2 linked regions of the Arabidopsis thaliana genome follow. The protein of the gene in region 2 binds, or shares a complex with, the protein of the main gene of each other region. Each region holds a gene or a part of one and is shown on either strand. Other genes may lie near its edges.

The links.
Region 1: TIC110 (region 2) and Tic20-V share a complex: the UniProt entries of both Arabidopsis thaliana proteins name them as parts of the tic complex.

The regions. Positions count from the first base shown.
Region 1 is NC_003076.8:22,554,114-22,557,682, forward strand, and holds Tic20-V (TIC 20-v-like protein), read right to left. Parts: upstream 1,538-3,569; 5' UTR 1,512-1,537; coding exon 882-1,511; 3' UTR 765-881; downstream 1-764. Other genes in the region: BAM4 (beta-amylase 4), read left to right, coding at 1-58, 282-350, 437-589; AT5G55720 (Pectin lyase-like superfamily protein), read left to right, coding at 1,934-2,748, 2,841-2,979, 3,159-3,383. UniProt on the Arabidopsis thaliana protein: May be involved in protein precursor import into chloroplasts. Not redundant with TIC20-I, TIC20-II or TIC20-IV.
Region 2 is NC_003070.9:2,129,415-2,137,573, forward strand, and holds TIC110 (translocon at the inner envelope membrane of chloroplasts 110), read right to left. Parts: upstream 6,290-8,159; 5' UTR 6,150-6,289; coding exon 5,626-6,149; intron 5,543-5,625; coding exon 5,483-5,542; intron 5,398-5,482; coding exon 5,274-5,397; intron 5,168-5,273; coding exon 5,099-5,167; intron 5,005-5,098; coding exon 4,906-5,004; intron 4,777-4,905; coding exon 4,710-4,776; intron 4,392-4,709; coding exon 4,327-4,391; intron 4,250-4,326; coding exon 4,155-4,249; intron 3,725-4,154; coding exon 3,597-3,724; intron 3,524-3,596; coding exon 3,423-3,523; intron 3,282-3,422; coding exon 3,065-3,281; intron 2,759-3,064; coding exon 2,604-2,758; intron 2,450-2,603; coding exon 2,324-2,449; intron 2,218-2,323; coding exon 1,246-2,217; intron 1,138-1,245; coding exon 889-1,137; 3' UTR 639-888; downstream 1-638. Other genes in the region: AT1G06930 (TPRXL), read left to right, coding at 1-258; AT1G06960 (RNA-binding (RRM/RBD/RNP motifs) family protein), read left to right, coding at 6,516-6,588, 7,001-7,173, 7,457-7,550, 7,653-7,732, 7,850-8,119. UniProt on the Arabidopsis thaliana protein: Involved in protein precursor import into chloroplasts. Forms a voltage-dependent cation-selective channel at the inner envelope of chloroplasts, which specifically responds to a transit peptide.

The sequences.
Region 1 (3,569 bases), on a different chromosome or scaffold from region 2:
GGCAGATAGTGAAATACCTGAGAAATATCTTTGCAGCCCTGAAGGATTACGTAGACAGGTACTTTCTTTCGTAAACCCTTGATCCAGAATTCAATTATGTTCATATGAAGTATGTATGTTACTTGTATTTAGACCGGTCACTGTTGAAGCACTATTTACTTCCGTAGAGACACTTCAAACTAGTCTAGTCTCTGTGTTCTTACTGCGCTGCTACATTAGACAATTAAGCATGCCTTATAAGAACATGAACAAATCAGCATTATCACATTTTCTTTTGCTAGATACATGATGTTTCGAAGAAGTGGACAATACATGTGACTGGTAGAAACACAAGCGAAAGATTTGATGAGGTGAGTTATTTGCACATGCTTTAGTCTTATACGTCTGAGGTCAAAGTGGTGGTTATTAACCATTTTCTATATGAATTCTGCAACAGATGGGACTAAGGCAAATACGAGAGAACTGTGTGCAACCGAATGGCGACACTCTAAGATCATTTACGTTTTGCAGAATGAATGAGAAGATCTTTAGGGTCGAGAACTGGAACAACTTTGTCCCTTTCATTAGACAGATGAGTGCAGATATGTAAACACACTCACCACCCATTGGTGTGTTTGTCTTTTGTTACAGAATCGATCTTTCCTCACCATATTGCTTTTTCAGATATGTGATGAGGAGAACTAATCAAATCAAAAATTGTTATATGATAAAATCTCTCTCTGTTTCTATTCTTCATTTTGTTCTATCTCTATTGCAAAAGTCTTGCAGAAACCTTTTTCATTGGATCAAAAAGTTACATTGTATGTTTTGATTATCAGAAAGCGATCCAATACAGAAGGTTTAATCACAGCAAATGTGTTACATACAAAGATATTATTGAATCAAAGGACTTGCCTATCAGCAGCCTCGGCAACAAGAGGCAACCTCGGGGTCAGACCAAACAAGCAAGCAGAGAATCCATAGATCAAAGAGACAAGCAAGAAGAGGAACACTGTGCTGTCCAAACTCATCACCACATCTAAACCAAACCCATCTCTAGGATTAAAGCTCCTCTCAAGCAAATCCGGGAAAATCAACAACACATCAAGCACAATCGCCTGCATCGTGTTGAACCTGACGTACCTGCTGAAATTAGGGTTCCTCACAACGACGAAGTAGAGAGTGATGAAGATAAGAAACCCATTGAAAGGGAAGCTCTTGAAAGCTCTGATGGCGGGAAACAAAGGTTGGATGAGAATCTGAAAAGGTTGGTACTGTGTGATGATGAATTTGCCGTATTGAATCCCATCGAAGAATGGGTAGAAGTAACAGACGGCTGAGATTATCCGATCCGATGCATCGACGGAATCATCACCCTTGGATTGGAGTACGAGTGTGGCGGCTCTGTCCCTGGAAAGTCTAGGTTTTGGGAATTGGGTATCAAGGTTTAGAGGGAGAAAAGAACGACCGGTTAGGGTTAGGGTTCCGGTGAGAGATGGTAATGGAGCAAAAAACTGAGATATTATTGCCATTTTGCTCTGTTTTTGTTTCACTTCACACAAAACTGAAAGACTGCTTAACACATGATGAGAGGATAATAAACTAAACTCCACTCTGTTTTAAAAGTTTAGCTTAAAACATTGTGTCGTCTTCTTATCTTTCTAATATGATAAAACGGTACGTAGTTATTTGAAGTAAGGTAACAATTAAATAGCCTCTGTTATTGTCTTTGTTTTTTGTGTATATTTAAATATCAAAATCCACCGGTATAAAACGGCGTAATGCCTTTGTATTGGACCCAATTCTTTCAATTTTCACCTAATTTAATTACCTCCGTATTTATTTTTTAGTGCACTTCAATGTCTCTTGCATATATATATTGGAGCAAATTATAAACATAATGTTCATAGTGAAATTGTTAGTTGGTTTTAATCTCTTTTTAAGACAACATATAATGTCAATTGTATGTACGTTTTTCTTGTTTCTCTTAAACACTTCTTTTGCGTTTGCATTTGCGATTCCTAAACCGCCAATAGTAAGGAGACTATCAACGACAGTGACATCAAATTCAACAGCGTCTTCTTGCTCAGCCAATGGAAATCCAATCGATGAGTGTTGGAGATGCGACGAAAACTGGAAGGACAACCGCAAAAACCTCGCGGATTGCGCGGTTGGATTCGGACGCGACTCAATTGGCGGTAGAGCCGGGGAGTTCTACACGGTGACTGATTCAGGAGACGACAATCCTCTAAATCCAACTCCAGGTACATTACGGTACGCTGCGACACAAGATCAACCTCTATGGATCATTTTTGATCGAGACATGGTAATACAACTAAAACAAGATCTTCAAGTAGCTTCATACAAAACCATTGATGGTAGAGGAAATAACGTACAAATAGCTTATGGACCGTGTTTAACTTTATATAAAGTTAGTAACATTATTATAAACAATCTTTATATTCACGATTGTGTTCCCGTGAAACGGAATGCTTTATCGTCGTTGGGAGGATACTCGGATGGAGATGGAATATCGATATTCGAGTCTCGAGATATTTGGATTGATCATTGTACGTTAGAGAAATGTTACGATGGGCTTATTGATGCGGTGAATGGATCCACGGATATAACGATTTCGAATAGTTACATGTTGAATCATAATGAAGTCATGCTTTTGGGCCATAGTGATGAGTATTCCGGTGATCGGGATATGCGAGTTACGATCGCGTTTAACTATTTTGGTGAAGGACTTGTCCAAAGAATGCCAAGGTTAGTACAATCTTATATTTCTTTTTCTTCTTTTTTTAATGTCAAATTTATAAGCTAACCAAAATATTCGTGCTTAAAATACCAATGTGTAGGTGTAGGCATGGATATTTTCACATAGTGAATAACATTTATAGAGACTGGAAGATGTATGCTATTGGTGGAAGTGCTAATCCAACGATCTTTAGCCAAGGAAATGTTTTCATAGCTTCCAATAATCAGTTCACCAAGGAGGTACGTTCGTGACATGTGCTCCACAAAACTAAGAGCGTTTTAACCTCACAATTAGTACAATCTAATTCATAGTCGACTAATCATTTAGAAATTTGATTTTCATGTGTCTTACTATATGGATTAGATTCTAGACGGAAATGTTTGCTCCATACTTCTAAACTCACATGCCCTATACGCAGGTTACAAAGCGAGAGAGTGCAGATGGAGACGAAGAATGGAAGGAATGGAACTGGAAATCAGAAGGAGACGAAATGGTTAACGGAGCTTTCTTTACACCGTCAGGGAAAGAGGATTCTCCGAGCTACGCGAAATTTTCGAGTATGGTAGCTCGACCAGCTTCACTTCTCAAGACCACACATCCATCAGTAGGTGTTCTTAGTTGCGAAATTGACCAAGCTTGTTAAAAACACAAACATAAGCTTGTGACCAAATCTAGTGTTTGTCCTTCTTTTTCTTTTTTGCTCTTCTACTTGTTGTGGTTATTGTTATCGTAAATAGGATTTGTACTGAATGTGATGATGATCATAGACCCAAACAACAATTGTTCATTGTCAATTTCTTTACCAAAAAATTTCTTTTACGAGTCACAA
Region 2 (8,159 bases):
CACGTAAGCCCTAAAAAAACCAACACTCTCTTTAGTTCCTTGCTTTCCAAGAATCGTAGTGTGCCATCTTCTCCGGCTTCTTCTTCTTCGTCGTCCTCGTCTTCAGTTCCATCTTCTCCATTGAGGACATCTGATTTAAGCAACAGAAGAAGATCAATGTGGTTTGAATCTGGTTCGAGTTTAGACTACGGATCGAATAGTGCTAAATCTTCTGGATGTTACGCTTCCCTTGTCAAGGTGTTGCTCAGATCATGTTAAATGATTCTGCCTTTTTTCTTATATTTAACTCTCTCCTATTTTCTTATTAATTTTCACTTCTTTTTTTTCTTTTTTTGTAATCTTGGAAATAATTTCTAAAAACTATGTTTCATCGATTCATATCATCATCTCTATGAATCAATTGATTGGATCATATGGCTTCTATTTTTGTCTTTAAAAGACGTGCTTTTGTATAATTAGAAATTTCGACAAAAACATACTATAACGAGATCAGATCTAGTATACATGTTGATTGTTGAGTATTGTTCTAGTTGTGTGCAGTCATGTGAGACCACCATAGAATTAACAATTAACTTTCACTTACGGTGTTACGGTCAAATCATTTCATTAAAAAAAAAGTTCTCAATGATTGAATTAACTGTTATTCTATTTTTTAGGTTCGTTATGCGGGAACACCCGTCACGTGACACCACATGAGCACTTCAAAGCTGCGCTCTAAATTGTATAAGGGATACACTTCTCGTTTGCAGATTTTCAAATTAATCATATCAAGTTTATGGTTCTGATACAAAATTTTCACAGACTTTGGTCAAATTTCAAATTCAAAATCATTTTTCCACCCTCGGCCGTAACACAATACATAATAACTCAAGTGATTTCTCCAAAGATTTAAAAGACGAAATTGCCCTCTTCTGCAGCAGAAGATAATGCTCCATCTTCCATTTCACGGAGGGCAGTTGCAGTTGAATCATCTATTCCCAGCAGATATTGTAGCCTCAAAACTTTTTCCGGTGCGGGTTTGGGATCACTCTTTGAATAAATAGCATATAGATCAGATAATTCCTCTGAGACCTCCCATGACATTGGCTCAGCCGGCACAGCTTTGTCACATGCAAGCAAATCATTCAGCGACAAGACCTGTAAAACCAAAAAAAAAAAGCATACATACATACACAATTTAGACCCAGAAGCTGAAATATCCATGTTTTCTGTCACGATAAGAGAGGGAAAAGATGATTTGCATACCACTCCTTTAGAGTTTCTCTGCCTGAGTAATGCCACGGCTTGGACCAGCGAATTCGATAATCTACTCTGAGCGAGATCATGGACAACTCTTTTGGCTTTTTCCACATCAATACTGAGATCGGATGGGATTGTCTGGTAGACTTCGGTTTCATCGAATTCACCAGTTCCTGATGAGAAGATGTCACTCACTGTCTTCTTGAATAATTTCTCTCTCAGACTCACAGCGATCATGCTGTCCAGGCTGACATTTGCCTCCTTGAGCTCCCGTATCTGCTTTATGTTCAGTCTTCCTTGGTTAACAGCGGTCTCTATCGCGTTTGCCATTTTTGTGGTGGTTATATTCTTGATAACCTTCTCGGCTTGTGGCTGAGGCAAACCAACTTGTTTTTGCAACTCGTCTAGCTGCTCTACTCTAGCCTTTGTCAATTGCCCATCAGCTAAAATCACTTCAGCTTGTTGCCTAAAAGCCTGCTCGGCTAAACCTACGTGAATGTTGACTATTTCTTTCGAACTCAATCCGAGAATCCCACCAAGCTGATTTAGAAGCAAGTACTCTGAATCGTCTCTCTTTGTTGTGATCTGGGCGCCAAAAGGGATTCTTGTTACCTCTCCAGTTACACAGTAGAGCAAGTATGTTTTGTAGAGATCTATTCTGTCCCTGTCGGGAAGGTCATCTTTGAGAGTTATCTCAGTCTGGCCAGGCTTTCCCATTTTCTCAGCGAGTTCCTTGTCGGGTCTTGTCTTTCTGAGCGATTCAAGGGATCCCCATTCTTCATCTTCATCATCTTCTTCTTTCTCTTGAACAGGGTCCTCCTCAGGTGCCTTATCAGAAGATTCTCCCTTGATATCAGCCACCATTTCAGTCACAACCAACGTGTTGAAAGCAATCATCTTCTTGAGCTCCTTTGCTGAATCAGTACGGTTCTCGGCTGCTCTTGCTCGTCTGATATAGTTTGTGAAAACCCTACGGACCTGCATCAATGAAGGGATTTGATTTTCATGTCTTGCTATGAGAAGTCAGAAAATTTTAACAAATCCTAATACCAAGCATGGAGAAAGTAAATAGTGTGATACTCACAGCTTTGCTAGCAATAGACATGGCAGTCTCTCTGGATAACCGAAGACCATGTGCAGCCTTTCTAACTGATTTGCGAGTTTCAGCATCATAACCATCCACTCCAGAAGAAATGGCATCCCTGACAACCTGGAAAGATTAAACAAAAAGGTAATTAGAGGTAAAACCTTTTGGTAACAAAATGCGAAGGCAGAGAGGGAAGCAGAGGGAAATTGCAGTGCCAAGACCCAAGACCATGAAAAAACCCTTGATAAAGGGAAAAGGGAGGTGATAACTGGATTACCTTTTCAAATATGGTTCCACAGATTTCTGCATGAGCTGTATCAACAGTTTGCTGGGGAATACACAACATAACTCTTAACCTTAATAAAGCAGCAACATTGTCATCGCTCAGCTCTCCATCAGTAACACACTGTTGAAGCTTCTGCCGATAGATTTCTGAGGAAGAGAAGGTGCTTGTCAGATGATTGGGAAAAAAAGACCAAATAGATACTCAAACTGTAAAATAACAGCATGTAACCCACTGAAACACCAGACTTGTTAGAAGTCTGTTAAGAACCAAATCTACAACACTAAAAGCTAGCTTAAAAGGATAAGGAACCCGCAAGTTTACAAGCCATCAACTAAATTGATACCCATGGACACATCTTACATTTGGGCGATTATGTGGCAATTCCAACTGTATACCTCATGCATAACATAAAAACATAAGATTTCATTGTGAACAGAAGGTTCGGCTTATACCTTCATGGATTGCGCCTGCCTTCTGTGCATCAAAGTGCAGCTCTTCGCAGAGCTTTTGAAGGTATTTTGCTTTACTGTCTTGTGCTTCAAGGTCACCACTAGAAACAGCGTTAGCAAGTCTTTTACGGTAAGACTTGGACGTAACATCAACACTAATAGCTTCAGCCTCTCGTTTTCCCAGACCGAGTATGTTTCTAAGTTGGCTCATTGCCACGAGCTACCATACAGTAGAAAGACAATTAGAAATGGAAAAAAACATGCGACTGGGATAGAGGACACAGCATCTGAAAACACTTACTCTCAAAAAAACTTGCAACTAAGCTTTAGTACATAATATCTTATACAAAACTGAGTATACCTTATTTTCTTCTAAGCGCCCACCAGATAAAGCATCTGTAACATATGCTCTATAAAGGAGCTTTAAATCATCCATTCTCCTCTCAAAATCAGACTCATCACCTAAGCCACATAGATCCAAGGTTGAGAGCCAATAATTTTTCTTCAGAAAAGAGAAGGTCAAAAGCATCTTCACCTATCAAAGAAATAGGGCCAACCCCGCGTGCAAATTGATCTGCCTCTGAATGACTTTTCAAGGAAACTAGCAGGTTGTTAAACTCCAGTACTTTTTCAAGCTCTTCCACGACAGATGCCAAACTCTTCCTGGAAAAAATCAGGTCGTTAAAATGACATGCATTGTAAACTACTATAAACTAGACATACTAGATGATCCAATTTGTTTCCACTATTAATTATCACAAGATACAAAAACGCCTATAAAATTAAAATCTCATGACTTTTTTTTAAATACTTATACTATAAGACAATTCACAAAAGCAAAAGAGATCATATGACCAATCAGTTTTTGCAATAACCAAAACTCAAAACTAAAGCCAAAACTTCAATCTCTTTTTTCAACCCGACCAAACTCAATGTTCAAGCAAAGGAATACATATACCCAGCTAAAGTCATAACTCATTGGTATAAGAAATAAAAAAGTTAAATGTGTAACCAAACTGTTCACATGGATAATGATTATTCTATACGATTTTTCTATGCATGATTCTGTAAGCAATATGTTAAAATGATTTACGCTGCTCGTGTGCGGGATTTGAGTATGCTGAGTGCCGATGAAATGTTCTCTACGACTACTTTTCTCGTATGCTCTCTAAACAGGTCTTCAGCAAGCTATGAGGGAGAAGAAACTGTCAGAAGAAGTACAACCAGAGATAGCAGGAAGTCAATGCCACAAAGAAATAGAGTACCTCATCAGAGAGCTTGAATGATAGTTGTGATTTTCTAAGGTCCACAAGGTTTTCTACGTTAATATCTGCAAGAACATGTTTAGAAACATAACCATGTAAGTTTCCATGCATTAAGCTGACGAAAAAGCTAAGTCATATCTTTTTTTGGTTGTCAAAAAGCCATATCTATTATCAATGTTAAATGAGAAGGGACCATTACAGTCGCATGCGAAGTAACAATTAAGGTTGGTATTCAGACAACTTGCTGATAAACGAATATTACAAAACCCAATGGACAAAGAAGTGCCACAATAATCAATATAACCAAGTCAAGCAAACTCAAACCCGTTCTACAAATGTAACATTACTTCCCATCTCAAAATGTAAAACATGAACAACATTACCTCTACCAACTAATTTTAACCGTTCGGCATACAGCTGCTTTGCATTTTCACGAATAGCAATCTCAACCTAGAAATGAGGTCAAGACATTAGCACAGAACTTCAGATTACCAAGAAGGAGTGAGTTGCCAAAATGAAACTTCCATAAAACAACTATTGCGCAAAATCAGAAGTATGAAAAAAATTGGAAATGCCTACCTGAGCATCTGTGACCTTCAATACTCGCTTCCAAGGTAGAAGGAAGGATGAAGCATCTCCAAACACAAGAGCTGAAACATATACAAGCCTCATAAATGCCTGCACTGGAAGCATACAACTTGTGATCACGCTTGTGCTCTCTTTCGAACAATCCTACAATAAACTTAACAAATACTAGGGACTGGCGACTCACCCGACGCTGTTCTGCATCACCTTCACGCTCCCCAGTCTCAAGCCTTTGCCTAAAAATCCTGCGACCAATCTAAACAAAACCAAGGAATTGGTGATTCAGCAATCAAGATCCTTCTGCATCAACTACAAAAAGGCTAACGGCTAATTCAAATGAAGATTAAGAATCTAGAAAGCACCTCCATGTGCATGGCAGCTGCATCAGGTTCGTCTATCCCTAAAGCATTTTTGAACTTGACTATCTTCGCCACTTCATCCCCTTTAAGAGACTGTCCTTCAGTTGGAAGCACGGAAGTTACATACCTAAATCAAGATTAAGATGCAAAGATTACTAATGAATTCCCCACACTAAGAGAAAAGATGAACACAGTATCCTTTGTTGACTCACCGGCAATAAATATCACAAATCTCAGCCTGGAATGCTTCGTCTCCTTTGTTGACACCGTACCTGCAACATATAAGAAGGATCGTTTAAGCAAACTTTTGTTTATAAATCCCAGACACAAATTGACAATTAAATGAAGCACTCACCTATCAGCGATCTTTTCTACATCATCTTTCGTCACAGAGGCAGGATCTTCGAATTCGGCAACATAATTATGCAAACTGATAGCAGCTACCTCCGGTACAGCAGAGTTCAACGCATATACGACAGCTCCACCGGCGGCTCCAGCAACAGCAGCCCCACCAAAGGCAATATTCCTGGAGCCGGCTAAACGGAGCCCAAGGCCGTAACCAGTAGCTAAAGACGCCGCTAATACAACAGCTGAAGTCGCTAGCCTCACCGGCGGTGTCATTTTCTCAACAATCGGTTGCAATCCAGTGAGCTCCTTCTTATTCCCATGGATACCGGGATTCTTCGCCTGCGTAGATACTGATAGTTGGTCGGAGGAAGCAGCTGAGCTACGAGGGAACGAAACTCGATAACGACGGCGAGATAGACACTCAGACTTGGAGAAACGGTGAGGTAAAGTAGGTAGGAAGTGAGAAAGAAGAGGAGACCGAGGAGAAGGTGAAATTGGAGCGTTAATGGCGGTGACGAGTGAGGGATTCATGGTTCCCTCTACTGAGAAAGATCCGAGCAGTCGTTGAAAAAAAGAAGAATCGTAGGGTTTAACGAAAAACAGTAGACAACGGAAGAAGATAGAGATGCGAACGAAGAAAAGGGGAAAGAGATAGGGCCTAACAAAACATCAAAATCCCCTTTCGAACGTCCAGACGTTTTTTAATAATATTATAAAACTACGTGTTGTTTTACTCTTCGGTAACGGTAAGATGTTTACATAAAAAAACAAATTAGACGCCTTGTGTAAATTGGAAACGCCACGATTTCTTCTCTCTTCTTGGCTCTTAGGGCTCGCTAAATTTTCTCAGGGCTGTGACCATCGACCATCGTCGTCTTCGCGGAGCTCAGTTGAAAGATGTTAACGGCTGATATACCACCAAATCAGTCAATCTACATAAAACATATCAATGAGAAGATCAAGAAAGAAGGTAATGCTTACGAAATTCATATAATTGCATCGGTGATTTTCTAAGAGTTTTTGCAATGCTTAAGTAGCTTGGTAATGCTTGTGTGAGCTTCTCTTGAATGAGTTGTCTGAGTTTAAAGTTGCTTAATTTGATGTTTACGAAGGTTAGATTAGATGCATTTAGAGTTATCTTTCTAAGTATTAGGGATTTAGAATTTCTGTCTAATCTTAATAGACCTGAACTAGAGATACTCTAACAAAGGTGCTTTATTTAAGTAATTAAGTAGGAAAGGCGATTGCTTTTGCCATGAAATTTGTTTAGATTGTTTGATTGAAGTCAATGACCTTAAGTTCTTTAGCTGCTGCTTTTGTTTGTCTAAGAGTAATGCTGTTCAAGCAGATCATTGTTTAATGTTTCCACTTGTTTTTTTCAGAGCTGAAGAGGTCTCTTTACTGTTTGTTCTCTCAGTTTGGAAGATTACTTGATGTGGTTGCGTTAAAGACTCCTAAGCTCCGGGGACAAGCATGGGTTGTTTTTACTGAAGTCACCGCTGCTAGCAACGCTGTCCGTCAGATGCAGAACTTTCCTTTCTATGATAAGCCTATGGTACCTTTTTCCTCTCTTATGTTCCAGGTTTATCTATCCCGCTACCGAAAAATGATTTTATCTTGTTATGTGAGACTATAAGCTTAGAAAGTTGCAGAGATTTACTTGGAGGGAAAATTGAGTTTGCTTGCTGATACTTGTTGTTATATAAAATTGAAGGAAGTACAACGACATTAGATGTTGAGGGTATATCATTACACAAGTGATTACTAAGTAAAAGACTAGAAAAAGCTAAATGCAATATTATTATTCAAATCGTGATGTGTGATCTCTGTGGGTGCAGCGGATACAATATGCAAAATCAAAGTCAGATTATGTTACTAAAGCCGAAGGGTCTTTTGTTCCAAAAGAAAAGAAGATGAAGCAAGAAGAGAAAGGTTTAAACTTTCGTTTCCATCACAAGTTCAGATCTTTTCAGCTCATTTCATCTGTGTTTTACTTCGCATCTGATGTTTAACAAAACTGCACATCACTTTCAGTTGAAAGGAAGCGACATGCTGAAGAAACTCAACAACCAAGCATGCCTAATGGCGCAACTACTCAGAACGGAATGCCTGTGGCAATTTCTCTTTCTCGCATCATTCCAACAATACAATATTATCTTCTGACAGACGTCATTATCGCAACTTAGTCTGTAAATCCTTGTTTCCTAATACCCGTCTCTGTAATTTCACAGCCTCCTTTCCAGCCGAGTGGGCAAGACACGATGCCACCAAACAACATACTCTTCATTCATAATCTTCCCATTGAGACGAATAGTATGATGCTTCAGCTGCTCTTTGAGCAATACCCAGGATTCAAAGAGATAAGAATGATCGAAGCAAAACCCGGAATTGCGTTTGTGGAGTATGAAGACGATGTTCAGTCTTCCATGGCCATGCAGGCTCTTCAGGGTTTCAAGATCACTCCGCAGAATCCAATGGTCGTCTCTTTTGCCAAGAAGTGAAAACCAGAGTTTTGTTATGCGGATGAATGGTAATGATATA